Linked DNA regions of Schizosaccharomyces pombe. The gene in region 1 interacts genetically with each later gene. Each region holds a gene or a part of one and is shown on either strand. Other genes may lie near its edges.

Region 1 (3,965 bases):
AACTATATTTGCGATATTATCCACCTCAAATTTCGAAGTTGAAGTAGAGTCATCTGTTTGAGATAAAATCTCAAATAACGCCATGAAAGTTCCCGTTCTGCCACAACCCGCTGAACAATGGACTATAATGGGTGCTGTTTCAAAGTCCGGAGAATATGAGAGACTTTTTATATAGCGAGTCAGTGATAGTAGTGAGAAGGTATGTGGTGCACCAAAGTCAGGCCAACCGTTATAGTAAAAATGCAAAATTTTTTTCTTGACCCCGTCCTTGTTCAGCTCAAATTCACGAACTTGAACTTCATTTAATGATGTCAAAGTATAAACTTTTACCAAAATAACGCTTAAATCACCGATATTAAGTGTCTCAAACAGTTCCACTGGCCAATAGATATCACATTTCAGACGATGGCGTTCCCTCAATTTGGTAAGCATAACGATGATGCCTGATTTTGGCACAGATTGCCAGACCATCTTCCAAAAAACATCAATACTGTTCGACGTTGGACCCTATATAAATAAAGAAGACTAAGTTAGTAATTATGTTACAAAAAATGATGAAAAGAAAAAAGGCCAAAGCCGTTTACAATCCCGCAATTTCTTTTTATTCCTAACCTGAGTAGCGATAAATGTTTTCCCAGAAGGGATTTTTACTATGGAAGCATTAATGTAATCACATGCTTCTTTCCACATTGGATCTAAACGAACACGAGTATTTTCATAAGGGACTATGTTGGAGTATCGGTTTCTAGCCAGCGCTTTCTTACTTAGCTTTGGCAACCTAGTATTTAACAGCTCTATCTCTTCCTCATTGAGTCCCTCAATAATCATGTACGCTTTTTCTTTTATTGTGATCAAGGGTGTTAGAACACCATTTTCTGTAGATACTTCTTTAAAAGACATATTGATTTTTTGCGTTTATTCGCTTTTAAACTTCTCACCGAAGTATTTTTTTGTGTCTATCAAAAAGAAAGAATAATTTCTACTAAACGACTTTAAATGATTCCTAAAACCATGACAGAAGTCAGTAAAAAAGAGAAGTATAATTGTTTAATAAATCATCATTGTACGGCCCCCACATAGCGCTAGTTTCTAGTTGTAGTCGTAATCTAGTTCACGTTCACATTCACTTCGTAGGACTAGGCCCAGAGTATTTGCGAATGTCTATGTGGGGGTAACTCGAACCTTTACGAAGCCGGTAGTATGAAGAACAAGCTATATGTGGGATACTTTTATAGGTTGTAAACAACTGTATTGATGATAGTGAATAAAATGATTTAAACGCACTTATGTTCTCTCCAAGGACTTAATCGATCTGCTATACTTTTACTTTCAAAAACAAAAATATTTAAAGTGTAGAGAAAAGTTTTGACGTTTCTTATATAAGGCCAAGTATTATAATACTTGCTCAGCAATTGTTTCATTAAATGCCTGTTTGAATGTCGCCATTGTTCTTTAGGAGTTGTGTTTGACTCGTTTGACTCCCTTACTTGGCTTCTTTGGTTTTAATGTAATTTGTAAAGATTTCTTTGAATGAAAACGTGCCTAAATTGGTTTTAGGTGTTCTTTCTTCTAAGGTTTCCAATAACTTTAACTCAGAATTAGTAAAAATCATTAATTGTTAACAAAAGCTTATGACAGGTTTTTTCTATTCTTTTTTTTTGAATGTTCGCTTAAGAAAAGTCATATGTAAACATCAACGAAGCCAGCTTGGATATGTTTATGATTTCTCCGGTAATAGCAGTTGAAATGCTATAAACTAACAAATTATTCATTTAATAAGAAAATCAATAATTTACTCGATGTTTAATATTATTTGCTTGGAATGCTCAAATTGGATGAAATGAGACTATAAACAACAAAAAAACAATCGTCGTCAAACTATAATGCTATATAATTAAATTATAAACGTTTACTTTCCACTATTTACTATTTCATAATTTTTGTTATATATCCATCCACCCTTTTACCAAAGCACATCAAAAGTGTCTTTGCTGGTATAGTTCTATGAATGCGTCTAATAACATTTCAAAATTTCCTGATTTAGATAATTCTTCAAAATTAATTGACCACATACTTGATAGTGATGATTCTGAAGAGTTGGACGAGCTTCCTGATATCTCTTCTTTGGTGCCTTCGGCAAGAGCCCAATCGCGAAAACAGTATTTGAAAAATGATTCTTCTAATTCATCTACATACAGATGGAATATTGATCTTCTTTCTAGTACTGCTACAATTGACGATTCGGTTGCAAAAAGAAGAAAATTAGCAGTACAAAATTTATTGCAATATGACAGCACTCAAACCTTTCAAACGGGAGATGAAATTGATGAATTAATAGGAAAAAGTGTTGGATCAAATGTTTTGAATGTTCTACGTTCTAACCCTATTTATGATGACGACCTTAGGTACGAATATTGTAGCAATTCAAAAGCTCGTGTTCCAGACTGGAACACCCTGAAAGCAGAATGCTTGAAAGATAACGATTTGGAGTTTAATGAAGGAATTATACCAACAACTTTTGGTGATTTATTATCGGCAAAATTGGTCCCCTTAGATATTGCATTGTCAATATGCAGCTTGCAATTTTTCCGCTCTTTAGGAGACACAACATGCTCTGAATGGATTGCTAACCTAGAAAAGATTTTTTATAGCTATAAAAGCAGCTCTAATAATCTCAACCAAATTGTACGATTTATTTTTGAGACTACTGCAGATATGATTGGCATTGATTTAGCGAAACGACAGGTACCAATCCAGTTGGAACGTACGTCAGCCTCAGAAAATTTAAAAAGCAATTTGAAAATTAAGGTAATTAATTTCCTAAAATGCTGTGGAACTTTGTATCGGTTCTCCGACGACACTGTTCGCTTTGAAATGATTCAGGATGCATGTCGAATCTTAATTGACAATCAAGTGGGCTCATTTTGTAAATGGCAATTTTCTCAATTCATGGAACTTCCAATATCATTGAATCCAGATTTTTTGATCAGTAATATTCATAAGGTGTCTGAAAGTCCTAGAGTTTGGGTTACAATACTATCTTCTTTGTCTCGTTCCTGCCAAAAATTCAGAAAGAAGATTGCTTTTACATTATTTGTTGGGAAACAAAGTAAAAATGATGATTCAGACTTTTCTTCTTTATGTCAACGACTAGATGAAATTTCCGCTTCCTGTAATAATGACTATACAACTTTATTGTACCAGATTCGTACCTTCGGATATGCGGTGGATGAAAAGCATTTTAAAACTAATGAGCGCTTAGAGTGCTTACTGGAAAAATTACGAAAAATAGATTTAACAATATCTGGTTCAACAGACCATTTGCTACTATCGAGATGTGAAGTTAAAGATTGCATACATAGACTTTTTATGGTGCTTTACTATTTAAATACAAACTCAGCACCAGAATTGGAGAGGATTATTGAAAGTGACTTGCCCAATAATAATAAACAAAAGGACAGGTATTTCAAGGATAAAACTTCTAACTTATCGATGAAAGAAAACAAAAGCTTTTCAGCTAAAAAGGTGAAGAAGGGAAAAAAGAAAAATAAACGGCAAGCGTACAAAAGATAAACAATCAGTGTATTTATTAATATTAATTTCAGTGCTGGCGCAAATTCAACAAATTGTATAATACTTTCTAACTAAGAAATCCATAGTTTAATTTAAAAGAAAGTTACTTATTATAATTCCCTTGGAATTACAAATGGACAGAAAAGAAGAAAGAAGTTACCATCTTTTACGATAGTCAAAACTTAGCATCCATTGAAAGATATTGTATCCACTTGATTAATAGAAAGCAGCTATGGGAATAATTTATGATAAGAATCAGCAGAAATCATACACAATCCACATTTAAGAAAACAATGGAAGCCGAACTTGCGATCATTTAGCCTGAAGCATTAAATACTTGGATGAAGCAAAAATTTGAAACAAGTTATAGATAAATGCTTTAAATGAACTTG
Region 2 (3,600 bases), 3.2 Mb from region 1:
TTGAAATTGTTTCTAATGCACCCACTTTAGCAATGGAGGACGTTCAGCCAACTGCTGCCTCTGACACTATGGCATTGGCTCCTCAAGAAGTTTATAAACCGTCTAATGAGAATCGTGAAGGTGAAACTATTACTCGGTCAGGTATCGCCATTTCATCGACTGAAATGGACCACCAACAAAAGCAAGCACGCCGCAGGCGGGTGCGTAGAAAACATGCTGAGAAACGTAAGCAAATGGCTGAGAAAAGAAGGAATTCCGGTACTGAACAAGTCGTTCGTCAATTATCAAAATCGAATGTTGAGGTCATTGGTAAAGGAGGTGAGCGCAAAAAGGTTGCAAGTAATTCAAACAAATATCATCCGATTGTTTCTTCAAATCAGCTAAAGCTTTGAAGATAAATTTCGGTGTTAAGTGTGCTAGTCATAATTTTTATAAACGTTTGGTTTTAGTGGGATCAATAACTATATATTTTTGAAATTAATGCAATTTAATAATTTCTTAGATATCATTCGTATTATTCGTACCAATAATTCCATGTATCTTCATAGTCTTTAAGGCATTTAAAAGGAACTTCTTCAACATTTGTAAAACCTTCTTCTACTGTTGGCATTTGAAAACGAGATTTGAAAGAATTAAACGCTATCTCGGGAAGTTGTTTTTGCTAGAATTGGTTAGGAATTCTTCTAAGTCTTTCTAATGCTCCAACAGGTAACTTACGTTATGGTGAATGTAACGGAAAACGTTGTTGTGTCTGGCAAGTTCCTCAGATGACTGAAGATGAATGCAGCGTATAGGGATCTCAAATTCTTGGGCTATGTCAATCCACATTTTTCGTGATTCTATTGTAGGGTTTGTGTTGTCTGAAATCGCGTAAGTCGTTGAAATGATCGAGTACATACCTATGACAACCGATTTTTCTTTTTTAAGTGCCTCTATGGCAGCCTTGATGCATTTTGATTTCGTTTTTAAGATGTCTTGATTTACCCTTTCGTATCCTTGAGTGACAATCTGAGATTCAGCTAAAGTACTCTTCCCAGAAGAAGGAAACCCAACTAAAACAACAATTTCTTGATGCTCGGATTTTTTAAAATGGTATGGATGTGAAGAAGAATTTCTTACAAGGTAATTCTTTGGATGAAATGATTCAAAGTTTGGAGGCACAAATGAATGCCCCAAGAAAAATTGCTCGGGCGTCTCAAATTTAATCCCAATGTTTTCAGCAAACTTTAAATCAGTTGAATTATGATCACCCGGACGGCCTGCAGCATCACCTACGTATTTGATGAAAGATAAATCTAAAGGGTGAAAAATGTTAATAGGCCTTGATAAATTACAAGCGTCAACTCACCAATTGAACGGTTCACGTCTTTTAAAAAGGAATTCCACATTCCTGTCAATGGTTTTCTAAACTTATCTTTCAAGATGGCAGCATACAATACAATAGGTAGATCTAATGACTCAAAAATAGCACGAATCTTCATCTGAAAGGTATGTCCGGCAGAAGGTTTTCTTGGAATTCCGTTTTGATTACTGAAAATAACAAGAGAATAATTGTCTTGGTATAAAGCCTTCAATTTTGGGACAACGCTTGGATGCCACCAGGTCCAGTCAGCTGCATCTTTTGAAAATACTCTACCAGATTTAGTTTTTATGAGCGTTCCATCTAAATCAAATGCAATAAATTTTTTAGTCTTTTTTAGTTTTCCATACTTTGCTATGTATAATGAATCGGTGATGCTCCATTGAATTTCTATTTTCTGTTGAAGGCATGTCGAGGATGAATCAGAATCTTTGTTTTGAGAGCCGTACTTTTTTGAGGATTTAGACGATTTTTCAAAATATGAAGTTAAAGATTCCTGGGGGGGAGACTTTCTTTTTTTCGACGACATCGCGATTGACGAAATACTAAATGGGACTTGGTAATTGAGTTAGCTATATTATAATTGCATAGCAATGAAAATGGGTGGTTTCAATAACATACTTAAAAATGGATAACAGATGAAAATTTTATTTTTCGCTCTATTGAATTTTCAATTGTTTTTGATCAATTACATAAAATGCCTCATATACAACAATTAGTGAGAAGATATATTATATCATATAGTCCTTAATCGAAGATTTAATATGTTTACTGACTTGAAAATAATTCTTATTCGAAGAAATTTAGACAATAAATAACAAGAAAATTCTTTAATTTATTCGTCTAATTTATTATTTGGCAACCATTCAAAGATTTCACAAATAACATATTTGAGACCTACATCTTATTCATTAACAATTGCATATCTCGTTATTTACGAACATTAGTTTTTTTTTTTTGGTATCGTTTAAAATTAAACCGTTTATTTTTAAACAAAAAATGAAGGACATCGGCAATATTTTGTTTTTATGTATGAGCTTTTTTTTGCATTATTTTTTCGTTTGTCATTTATCTTTTTTAGTAGCTGATCTGGAATTTAAAAACAAAAATTTCCATAATTAATTAATTTAAATATTTCGTATATTTTTATATAAACATTATGGCTTCTACTGCATCAGCCAAGAATTTACTGATCGCAAAATCAGTATTCCACAAGATCCATATCGACAGAAAAGAAACCTGCATACAAGGCTAATAAATATCTTTGATTGTGTTTAATATAAAAAATTGATAAATTCTCGTAAAACAATTTAATTTTAATAATTTATTTGTGCTAAATTTTTATCATGTTGTGGAAATCTCCTTTACTATCAATCATTTAATAAAGTATTGCTAAAGAAAGTAACTTTATAACAGTATTACCCTATGTAAGATTCACAAATCCATCTTTATGCTGTATAAAATAAAAACATGCGATATTAAAAATATAAACCTGTTCCTTAGAAAATTTTATAAATTAATATAAGATTTTTTGTATACATTGAGTTACAAATTTTGTAGCAGATGTTGCGAATTAGTGCACATTGCAACCTGTACTTAACCAAAAACACTTTTCAGTCATGAGTGAATACACTACCCGTGAAGTTGGCGCTTTGAACACATTGGACTACCAAGTCTATGTTGAGAAAAATGGTACTCCTATCTCTTCTTGGCACGATATCCCCTTGTATGCCAATGCTGAGAAGACCATCTTGAACATGGTCGTTGAGATCCCTCGTTGGACTCAGGCTAAGCTTGAAATTACCAAGGAAGCTACCTTGAACCCTATCAAGCAAGATACTAAGAAGGGTAAGCTTCGTTTCGTTCGTAACTGCTTTCCTCACCACGGTTACATTTGGAACTACGGTGCTTTTCCTCAAACCTATGAGGATCCTAATGTTGTTCATCCTGAAACCAAGGCCAAGGGTGATAGCGATCCTCTCGATGTTTGTGAGATCGGTGAAGCTCGTGGCTACACCGGCCAAGTCAAGCAAGTTAAGGTCTTGGGTGTTATGGCCCTTCTTGACGAGGGTGAGACTGACTGGAAGGTTATTGTCATCGACGTTAATGACCCTTTAGCTCCTAAGCTTAATGATATTGAGGATGTTGAACGTCATATGCCTGGCTTAATCCGTGCTACTAACGAGTGGTTCCGCATTTACAAGATCCCCGATGGCAAGCCTGAAAATTCCTTTGCTTTC

Evidence for each region. A genetic interaction does not mean that the proteins touch.
Region 2: mutations in nse6 (region 1) and pnk1 impair growth when combined (synthetic growth defect), as found in Schizosaccharomyces pombe (2 studies listed by BioGRID, with this or other methods).

Annotation. Positions count from the first base shown.
Region 1 is NC_003424.3:5,295,773-5,299,737, reverse strand, and holds nse6 (Smc5-6 complex non-SMC subunit Nse6), read left to right. Parts: upstream 1-1,957; 5' UTR 1,958-2,004; coding exon 2,005-3,573; 3' UTR 3,574-3,689; downstream 3,690-3,965. Other genes in the region: protein tyrosine phosphatase Pyp3, read right to left, coding at 1-507, 613-900. UniProt on the Schizosaccharomyces pombe protein: Acts in a DNA repair pathway for removal of UV-induced DNA damage that is distinct from classical nucleotide excision repair and in repair of ionizing radiation damage.
Region 2 is NC_003424.3:2,137,550-2,141,149, forward strand, and holds the start of pnk1 (DNA kinase/phosphatase Pnk1), read right to left. Parts: upstream 1,919-3,600; 5' UTR 1,890-1,918; coding exon 1,349-1,889; exon of another isoform or gene 1,326-1,348; intron 1,296-1,325; coding exon 900-1,295; intron 861-899; coding exon 718-860; intron 662-717; coding exon 515-661; 3' UTR 393-514; coding exon of another isoform or gene 1-392. Other genes in the region: mpp10 (U3 snoRNP-associated protein Mpp1), read left to right, coding at 1-392; ipp1 (inorganic pyrophosphatase), read left to right, coding at 2,980-3,600. UniProt on the Schizosaccharomyces pombe protein: Catalyzes the phosphorylation of DNA at 5'-hydroxyl termini and can dephosphorylate its 3'-phosphate termini. Has a role in the repair of breaks in single-stranded DNA.